Arabidopsis thaliana: one gene and its partners. The protein of the gene in region 2 interacts with the protein of the main gene of each other region in a pairwise test. Each region holds a gene or a part of one and is shown on either strand. Other genes may lie near its edges. The genes, in order: BZIP60, AT5G05120 and MDA1.

Region 1 (3,759 bases), on a different chromosome or scaffold from region 2:
CTCATGTCTACATTTCGCGGTTCTCATTTCTACTCTGGCTATTCTCCCTATCTGCAGCGACCAACATCCTGACCCGTTTCGTGGAAACGTTCTACAAGTCTCGCGAGGAGATTGAAAGACAAGCCGAGGCTGAGAAGGAGATACTGGAGAAAAGAAAAATGAACATCAAACAAAATGGGAACCTCTAAAGAACCGTAGCTAGTTTCATCGACAACTTCTATGCTGCTTAGATGGAACTGCAAACTATCTATCATCTCTTCTCTAGTGCTTATGTACTAGAAAATATTTGAACTTTTTTACAATTCGAAGTTTTACCTTATCTTCATTGTTCTAATAAAACTATCTGTTCGTTTTTTTTTACCTGCCTACGCATCCGTACCAAACATTTTACAAACAAAAATCTCTGTGACAATCCCAAAGATTGGCTCGTCTGAACCCTAAATAATATCTGATGACAAAAAAAAAAAAAAAAAAAACTGTGATAATGTCAAATGAAGCAAACATGTAAAAACTAGCATGAGGAAAAGCTTTATCAATGTTAATCAACCTAATGAATTGTTATCTAGTAATTAGAAGTGATATTACCTGAAGTTATGCCTCAAAATCAACATTTTAAAGGCAGAAGCATTATTAGATAGATATCATCCATAACCATAAGACCCACATTCACTGTTAACTTATCGATATTAGACAGAAAACTTTCAACAGCGAAATACAAAACAAGAGAGAGAAAACTAAAAGACACTCATCTACAACTCAAAATGCGCAAAAGAAGCAGTTAAAAAAGGCGTTGTCACGCCGCAAGGGTTAAGATTTGGTATTTCATCCTAGGCCTCGAACCCTTACATCTCCGACTAACGCCGGTATAAGACGGTTTGCTACTACTCCCGAGCCCGTTTAGAACCAGCTTTTCTGGTTCTGGACGTAGGAGGCAACACTTTGTGTGGGACATATAAGGGAATAGGCAAATGAAGTTTACTCCCAGAAGCCAAAGCAGGGAACCCAACAGCAGGGATTCCAACAAGAGCACAGCAGACTCCTGCTTCGACATCATGGTAGTATTATTGCCATTACCCTTTTGCAAACAGTAACGTAGAGACTGGTTTTCAGCAACGAAGCACTCAAGCATACGTCCTAGTCTCAAGCATTCTCTTTCGAGATACTTACTCTTCTTCTCTAAATCTTGTACATATTCCTTCTTCCTCTCTCTCGATCTAACCGCCGCATCTCTATTTCTTACTCTCCTGAACCACAATCACATCCCAATTATCAAACCTCAGTTTCTTTTCATAGCATAAAAGGCTTTAACAATCTTAAGTTAACCAAAATACACATACCTATGTTTGAACATAATCAGCTCATGAATATTAACACAAGATTAACAATAATTAAAGGCAACCAAAATTTAAACAGTCATTTACTTAAATGATTAGTTCTCAATGTTGTTATCAAAACAATAACACACTTATAGCAATCTAAATGAAACAAAAATCAACATCACTCATAATCAATCAACTCTTCAACGTCACACATACATAAACATAATAACATGAACATATCACAAGATACGCAAGCAAAATTTAAACACTCGTTTCTCAAATCTTCACTGTTACACATACGTATCTCCTAGTTCTCAATGTTGTTCTCAAAGCATAACACACTTTTAACAATCTTAATGAAACCAAAATCAACACAAACATACAAAATCCATCCATAAACCCTAACTTTTCAAACAAGAGTAAAATTAGATATACCTTCTTCGTTTTTTAGCCACAGCATCATCGTCTCCTTCTTCGTCATCATCATCATGAATCTCGCTACCAGAATCATTAGACTTCTTCTCAACAACCAAATCCGAATTCTCCTTCCCGGAATCATCAGCGGCGGCGGGAGAATCGACGGTTAGAACTTTATCAGCCGCCAAATCAACGGAGCCAGAATCGCTAGTTGGATAATCAACGAGTAGATCCGCTATGAAATCTGAAACCGATTGCTGATCCAATTCCACAAAACTCTCCTCTTGATGATTCTCATCGTTCATCAATTGATTCTCGATTTCTCCGATCCATGAATCCGGTGAAGACTGAAGAAAATCCTCCGCCGGAAGAGAATCAATTACGATTGAAGGATCGAAATCGAAGAAGAAATCTTCATCTCCGAGTAAATCTATGCTTCCAAATTCCTCCGCCATGGTCAAAAAAAAAAAAATATACAAAGAAGAAAAAAAAAAGCGAATTTAATTTAAGAAATTGGAAGAGAGATGAGTTATATAGGAACTGTGTTTGAGACTTTTCTAAATTTCTTTGCGACCAAGTAAATGTGTAGAAAAAGAGTCAGCATGACACGTGTTGATTATGGACGCGTTTTTTGAATTTTTAGCCAATGATGTGATGGAGTGTACTGTGTTATAGTGTTTCTGTTAGCAGAGGATTATTGTTTTTATGTGCCGTCACACAACCAATGAGAAGGCTTCAAGCTGGAAGAATAGGATCACAGCCGAACACGTGTACTCAGTGAAGTGTTCGTGTGATTAATAACTCGGTTCTAATTCACTTCTTTTCTCTTGGTTTGATTTTCTTATTTTCGGTACAGTTATGTAAACCAGTTAGCTATAGTCAAAACGATGTACATGTAGTTGAGATGGACAATGAGACCAAGGAGAGCAAGGCTTCTTTGACCATTTCTCAGAAATCAATCAAAATTCTTCAGTCCCTTTTTCTCTTTGTCACCGTCAACATCTTCCACGATTGAATCTTTGTTCTCCGAGAGGACTTTTCTTCCTTCGTGACCATCTTCTAGACTTTGAAAGTTATCAATTTGTTAATTAAAATCATATATTATATTGTCAATTTATGTTACATTCTGGATTATCTTCCTTATTCAATTTTAAATGAGTGATTAATCTTCATTCAATCTCACATGAATGAATTTGTAAAATTTTCAGTTCTCTAGCAGATGAGTGAACTAATTATATATGTGAAAGTTGATCTACTATTTTCATATGAATGTCACGTTATTATTTAATTATTTTCTATGTGTTCATTCAATAATTAATGTAAGATTTACATTTATTATTAATTATTTATCTTTAATTGTATCAATTCTAAATTTATTTTTGTTATTATATGTATTTTAAAGAATAAATATATTTTACTATTTTCTTCATACTCATTTAAGGTTTATTTGCTAATGTTTTGTAGTCATAACTTAAAATAGGAATAGATATTACTATAGTGAATTAGCTAATGGTTTGGTAGCTTATTATCATTAATCTCTATCTAAATAATATAATACAGAGGATGAGGAGTATACAGAGATCCATCCTCAAATTCCTGATGTTTATATATTTCCAACATTAACATCTATTAAATTGTTTTACGATGAAAATTATTTCAAGATTGTGTGAATAATTACACTTTTTCAAAAAGTACTTAAAAAGTAGTTTAACATTAAAAGCAGTTGATGATTATATATTTTTCAATAAAATGTTAAATTATATTTTAAAAAAAGTAGATAAAGTGCAATTTCAATTAGAAACGAATAGAAGACAAGTTTTAAACACCAATAGAAATATTAAAAAGCTAGATGATGTTAGTTTTAACTTCTGGACAAAAACCAAATTTGGAGGTCGTATCTCTTGTCCCCAAGAAGTCTGATTGATGAGATTTGATTTTGGACTTGCTTATCAACCGAACTTGTCAATAATAGCATTAGTAATTATAATTTTAGTAACACATTATTTACATTAATTATAATTTT
Region 2 (3,105 bases):
CATATACGTTCAAGGGTTCTCGAACCAGACCCACCATCTCTCGACCGTTGATTCGGCCGGAATAGTACTTTAACCCTACTATGTTCGCGATAACAAACCCTATCAGATAAGACTCCGAAACACAGTCCTGAGATTGCTGCTGTGATGGTTCCACCGGAGATTGGAATTCGTCTTCGTTCGCCATGGGAGAGGAAGAGAAGCGTCGAAGAAACTGAGCCATGGGAGAGGAACGATGACGGAGAGAAGAAGGAGCTCGAAAGTATTTCAAAACCCGCATCCTTTCGAAAGAGTGGTTTTTTTTTTTATATTGGTATCATAAAGTAACTAAAATTGAGATTTGCATCTCAAATTCTTATAAATAGAATTTGACACCCCAAAGTCAGAACAATATCAAGTTTTTATTATTATATGAAATTCAAATGCAAATAACAACCAAGTTTATTACAATGTTCAAGTGCACAAGTACTGATTTGACACAAGCCGATAATACTATGCAAGAAAACAAAGGTGAGGAATGAAAGTTTAAGAAATACTTAAAAGGGAAAGATTACAATTTCACAGTTTGAGTGAGAGAGAAAGGGAAGAACCATCATTTTCTTTCTCAGCATCCATCTCTTCTGTTGCATCATTTGGTTCTTGAGGTTGTGGTTGGGTTTGGGAGCTACCAATGCCAAGGCAAAGATCCAAACATATTGGTGACGATAGTGGTTGAGGTTGAGATTGGGGTAGGAATGGGATCCCGGTAAAGGTCCAATCCTGGTTCATTCCTTGACTTGGGTCACTTTGTAGTCCTGCAAAGCTAGAGCTTGAGGATCCCACATATTGGTTGTAGACCATGGACATCTTGTATGATCTATCAACTTTGTACTGAGGCTGTTCAAATCCCGGTGGGAGTGCGTATTGGTTAGGAAATGAATGATGATACGAATACGAGTACGCGTAAAGATCTGGTTCTGGTCGGTTCAAATGCGCCAAAAATGCTTTTTGTTGTTTTTCGACCTCTCTCTCCTTTCTGTGTGCATTTTGATGACCACCTAATGCTTGTGTTTTATCGAACTTCCTAGGACAATACTTGCATTTGTATATAGGATTCTCTATCGATCCGGTGGCGGAGGCATCGTCGCTAATATCACTAGCGTAATTCGAGTCCGAGGACAACATTTCGTTGTCGATCGGATCGGGCTTTTAGAAATTAGGTTTGATGGCTTGAATATGTTATTGCACCCGGATAGGTATTTAAAGATTTAATACTTTGTATGCACTTTTAATATCAAGGAAAGTTATATGTTGTAATGTTATGATGTTTGAATAAGATAAATGCATATTGATGAAATATGGAAAGGGACTTAGTTATAGAGAAACATGATGAAGAACAAAGACTAACTGAAGTACTTAACAAACTAGTTTATCATTTCGACAACTCACACATAACATGTTTAATTACTATATATATTTGACATTTTACATTTGCCGAATTTGCGTAGTAAATTTGTTTCTGAATTAATACTTGTTGCATTTAGCATATTTAGTCAAAATTAGTTCCAAACATTACTGATTTCCAAAGTGAGTAGGGAGATTTTGGTTTTGCCCTATTAAATTTGAGATATAGTTGAAAACAAAATTATTTAGAAGAGTTTAAAGAGTTAATTAGTAGATCTTAATGTAGTCAACTTTAGAAAACAAGAATTAAAGATTTAATTAGTGTCATTATGTAGTAAACTTTTAGTACATAATTATCTCAACTCTTAAATAAAATATTTACCTTTAAGTTTTCTATTGTTTTCCATTGCTTGCAATTTTATTTATTTTCATATACATCACTTTGGAGGTAATAAAAATAAAATTATTTTCATATCAACATAATGAAAATATATATTAAAAGTAAGTAATTAAACTAAATTTGGCTACCTTTTAATAAGAGTAGAGAAACTGATGGAAGCATTTTACCATCAAATCTATAATGCTGATTCTCACATCAAAAAAGCATTAACTTAATAATTTTACTATGACATATAGCACATTTTCAGACTTTCTTGTGATATACATGGCTTAGTATGACAGATTGGATTAAACTTAAGATAATGAACATCTATGTATAGTCAAGGTTTAAACAAGATATTCAACTCTAACATACCAAATTAAAATCTATATAGTTTCTTAGCTATCTTTTCAGCATTAAAATATACAGATTGGATTAAACTTATGATATTGAACATCTATGTAATCAAGGTTTATAAACTTTGTAAACATTTTTATAAATAGCACATTAATTGGAGATAAGAAGAAAGCTATATGTATTATAATTAGGGTTAGTGAACTTTGAGAGCTTGGATTGACGATGAACTTCCGCCGTATCATTGGTTCTAGTAGCCATCTCTTGAAAAGGGTCTGTACAACGGAGTATGCTCCGACATCGATCAGGGTTGATGTACTTGCGAAGACAAAAGTGGAAAATAGGAGGATGGAGAAGAAGAGAATCATGCATGTTCGAGAAACTGCAATCTCTCACTGAGCCGGAGGGAATAGCGCACACGTTAAACAAGTTGATGAGGATTGAGAAGGAGCACGAATCCGTCACCAGAGAAGATCTGAAGCACGTAGATTGGATGGTGCGACGACCTGTCTTTCCTTCAAAAGCAAAGATATTGATTGGTTATTAGCTACCTGAGAAGGAAAAAGGGGACTATAACACACTTTCAACACATTTCGTAAATCGCAACTGGTACCTGAGGCTGTCCAACACACTTTCGCAACTGAAACTCATGGTTTCTTTGATGGATTGTCTTAATGAATAACTTAACCACGGCTTTCAGATTTTCTCTTTGCCTTTTAAATCTCTCTTGTAATTAGAGGTAAAATCTCTAGTGCAATCTTTTGCATTTTGCAATTTGCGCTTCTGAGTCACCTAGGCTTCTTCCTAGTGCAATTTTTGAAGGGTCACTTGCAGCAATGACCTAGTTCGATAATAAAACGAAGCTTATGACACTGTACTATGGAAAATTAAGAAAGTGCGTCTTTGATCGTTTTGAGTAAATGGTTTTGTTTACATAGAACATATAACATGAAATGGTATAGAACAAAGAAAACATTCTATATTGTTTTATT
Region 3 (3,759 bases), on a different chromosome or scaffold from region 2:
ATTCTCCCTATCTGTTCTTCTGTGAGACCAGTTTGTGATAAGAACTCGACAGTTGAAGTAAGTTTCTGGCGGCTGTAAGTGAGGATGGCTGGGAAACGGGAAATGATCTTTGCCCATTGGTTCTTGTCAATGCCAAGTGTCTCAAGAAAGGCCATTGTCGGTTTCAGGTTATCGGTTAGGCTGATTCCGCATATCTGTGGGCGTTTGCAGAGGATTGTGGGGATATCTGATTTAGGAATTCCGAGGTCTAGAAGGAATTCCACAACAGGTTTTATTTTTCCATCGAGGCTGTAATAAGGAAAGGCAGCGAACTTTCGAGTGATCGTTTTGATCTGCTCGAGGTTTAAACCGAGGTCAAGAAGGTAAAGGGTCTGAGGACGTAATGCACCTTCTGTGTCAAGTTCGCTGACTCGAGACACCGCTCTGAGTTTACGAGTGTCTGCAGCAGAATCTGTGTCACCACGAGGTGGTAGGACAGAAACTGGAGATGAAGCAACAAGTCTAGGTTCAGCTGGTGGATCAGGGAAGCTCACAACAAGCTCAGCGAGAAGATCACCATGTTCTTCATGAAGTTGTTCGAGGTAAGGAATGAGAGAATCTCGAATCTCAAGTGTAGTAAGCTCTCTTCCTGTTACAGTCAAACTTTTAGAGTTCATCGCCGAGCTCTTCTCATTAAATAGTAAAGGTTTTAAAGAAGAAAGATCGAACCTACGAGGTATCGAGCTTTATGAACAGAATGGAGCCTGGACACTAAATGGTCAATGAATAGATCGGATTTGTTGATTAACCGAGAAGAGAGACTGTTGCTAAGACCTTGCTTCTTGAAGAATAGAGTTAAAACAGCTTTAGCTTCTTCTTTCTCTGCTGCGATCAGATTTGGAGGTACAGGTCTTGGACTAAACTCTACTCTATTCTTTAAACGAATCCCTATAAAAAACAACATCGTTATGAAACCATATTGTTTTCAAAAATTGTGAAAAAAAGAGATAAGATTCATTTTCTCCATTGTATTATTTTGGTTCACTCACCATTTGTTTCTTGTCTAAAAGAGAGTCTTCCCGTAAACCAAAGCTGTGCTCTGCAAATTCATAGAATCAAGCACCAAAGTCAAGAAGTGCAATATCTCAAGAAGTCATGAATCGAGCTCGAGTCGCTCATAACTAACCTCGTACTGGGTTTTTCTCTTCTGGCGACAAGGAAAATCTCTGAAGGTCCAAGTTGACTAAGACTTTGCATTTTCTGGTTTCTGTGAAACAAAGAAGCAAAAGCCACCACCTTTCAATAACTGTTCAATAGAATTAAATTAACGCTTCAATGAACATAATCCCAGCTACGAAACAGTTCTCAGTTGCAGATTCTTAGTTTTAAATGTTGCTACGGATTTGATGCGAATCGGATATGGTAAGAGCACATGACAAGAGACGAAAGGAAACAATTTGTGGTAGAGAGACGGATCAAAATCCAATTAACGACTAACCTCGTTGTCGATGGTAGACGATGAGGCCCTTTTTCCCGAGAAAATTTCAATCGATGACTGAGAAATCAACTCGAACCCAGGAAGAGCTTTAGCGCTAGGACTGAGAAATTAGAGGATTTTGAAACGACATGATTGGAGGAGACAGGGTAAAACATTAAACCTTCCAATTGGTTGTAGAGATTTCGTAGAAAGCAAAGCCATTGGGCCCTGTTAATACAACCAAGAAGTAGTAGTATTTGATATTGAACCAAAGTCTAATTAAACCGGTAATGGTTAAGATTGATTTGGTTATCGACAAAAGAGTTTGTTCGAACACAAAACTAAAAGTCTAAAAGTGGGAAAATGTTATGTTCTATAATCTCTAGAGAGTAAGCGAATTCTTCTTACTCCAGTTTGTACAACTCTCGATGATCTTTTAAACTTGAGCAAGGGGATTTCTAGATTTCATTCTTCGCCGATTGAAATGAAGATTCATCGTAGGTTTGGAGAGTCTTTTTATCTTTTGAACATCTTAGACCAGATGTAGAGGACAAAGAAGACGAGGAGAGCGAAAAGAACCACGTGCATGATGTGGTTGTTGCCACTACGGATTATGCTCATGTTTAGTTTCCTTATGTTGTTCTTCACCCCGGCTTGCGCTCTGATCAATGTCATTTGCTGTCACACAAAAACAAAAAGCTTTATGTTTCAGACAAGAACACCATTTCTCCCCCTTGTTATTTGCATCCTAGAGTAATTCTGTATAACAGCACTTAATGCAGTCTCACGCAACAAAATCTAGCTGATGTTCTTTAGGTAACAAAAAGAAAAACTAGAAACAAATAAGAGCAATGTTCATCTTCAACATCATACTCTCCTTTATAAGGAAACCGGTATATATAGACTCAATGATAAGCTGCAACCATTTTGTAGTGCATTCACTTAACTAGCCGAGATTGAAGATATATATTCCTACCCAGTACCCACCAGAGTTCAGACCAGTCCCTGCGTATAAGTCTGAACATAATCTAAACAGTCCCTTTTATCAAGATTTTCATTGGTTTGTAAGCTATGGTATAATTTATACATACGTTGGGAATGAAGCTGTAGTTTCCCAAATAATGACAGCCATTTGAAACAAGATAAAGGTAACCCATAACTCGGATAATAATAAGTGATTAGCCTACAGTGTAAAGACTAAAATGCATGTTGCTGATGTAAGGTGTTTACATTCAACTTTACTATGATGGATGAATAAAGAACTTAAGCGACATCTCTCAACAACATACCAGTTCATCTAAGAAGTCTCTCTGAAACTTTGCTTCTGACCCAATTTCTTGAGCAATCTGCATAAAAATATGCGATCAATGGACTAACCAAAATCATGAGGCATAAGTTATGTTCAAAAAGGTAAAACACAAGGAATCGTAAAGAATGTCAACTGATTCATTTAAGAAGTATGGTATATAAAACAACAAGCAAGGAAGGTTTATAACAGACATCAAATATGTAGAATTCAATTGGTAAGTCAACTAATTAATCAGATACTCACTGATGAGTGAACATACATACTATCATAGTACTCTGGAACAAAAACACATATACAGAGCCACTTTCAAAACCAAAAGGCTGTAATGAAAACACAGACAAAGGAGAGATAGAATTGGTAACTAGGAGGGTTTCTTACATTTTTCAACTGCCTGACTTGGCCATGGAGACCTGTGATCTCATCATCCAGGTCAGAGTGCATCGGATCAATCCTCAGCTGGATTTCTTCTGAACCTGCAGCATTTCTAGTACTAAGCCCTTCCCTGCAGCCACAAATACAAATCAATAGAGCTATAGTTCCGCAGAAATTATCAAAATCTATGACCCATAAATCTCTAGTTTTCTCTATCCAAAAGATCAGAGAAAGAAATTTAAAAGCAATTCCAAAACGAGAAACTGATAATAAAGTTATACCTAGATCTGTATGGAGCGGCTCCGCCATAAAGGGAACCACCCGCACCGCTTCTGTGTGGATTTGACGCCATCGACGCAAAATCTAATCGGAATCTGCTGAGGTTTGAAATCGAACGCGAATTGAAATTGAGGAAGAACAAAGACGGGTCAAAATGTCGGGTTAATGGGTCTAGTCGTTTAATTTAAAACGCTGCGTTTTAGTCTAGTTATATCCGTAAACACAATGACGTTTTATTTAACCGTTGGATCATATCAGTAAGGAGAGCTATCGACGGTTAAAGATTCTTTTAACCAAAAATTTAATTGAACCGGTAATGGTTAAAGATTATATTGGTTTATCG

What was found.
Region 1: the proteins of AT5G05120 (region 2) and BZIP60 interact in a two-hybrid assay, tested with the Arabidopsis thaliana proteins (one large-scale study listed by BioGRID).
Region 3: the proteins of AT5G05120 (region 2) and MDA1 interact in a two-hybrid assay, tested with the Arabidopsis thaliana proteins (one large-scale study listed by BioGRID).

What each region holds. Positions count from the first base shown.
Region 1 is NC_003070.9:16,135,269-16,139,027, forward strand, and holds BZIP60 (basic region/leucine zipper motif 60), read right to left. Parts: upstream 2,196-3,759; 5' UTR 2,192-2,195; coding exon 1,755-2,191; intron 1,245-1,754; coding exon 794-1,244; 3' UTR 455-793; downstream 1-454. Other genes in the region: AT1G42980 (Actin-binding FH2 (formin homology 2) family protein), read left to right, coding at 58-188. UniProt on the Arabidopsis thaliana protein: Transcription factor involved in the unfolded protein response (UPR). Acts during endoplasmic reticulum stress (ER) by activating unfolded protein response (UPR) target genes via direct binding to the UPR element (UPRE).
Region 2 is NC_003076.8:1,509,288-1,512,392, reverse strand, and holds AT5G05120 (C2H2 and C2HC zinc fingers superfamily protein), read right to left. Parts: upstream 1,162-3,105; coding exon 556-1,161; downstream 1-555. Other genes in the region: AT5G05130 (DNA/RNA helicase protein), read right to left, coding at 1-277; AT5G05113 (uncharacterized protein), read left to right, coding at 2,403-2,660.
Region 3 is NC_003075.7:8,376,292-8,380,050, reverse strand, and holds the start of MDA1 (Mitochondrial transcription termination factor family protein), read right to left. Parts: upstream 1,624-3,759; 5' UTR 1,478-1,623; intron 1,286-1,477; exon of another isoform or gene 1,247-1,285; 5' UTR 1,237-1,246; coding exon 1,166-1,236; intron 1,079-1,165; coding exon 1,029-1,078; intron 928-1,028; coding exon 709-927; intron 629-708; coding exon 1-628. Other genes in the region: AT4G14600 (Target SNARE coiled-coil domain protein), read right to left, coding at 1,973-2,134, 2,746-2,802, 3,144-3,267, 3,419-3,489. UniProt on the Arabidopsis thaliana protein: Transcription termination factor required for processing and steady-state levels of plastid transcripts. Involved also in chloroplast transcriptional pausing, a general feature of chloroplast genes.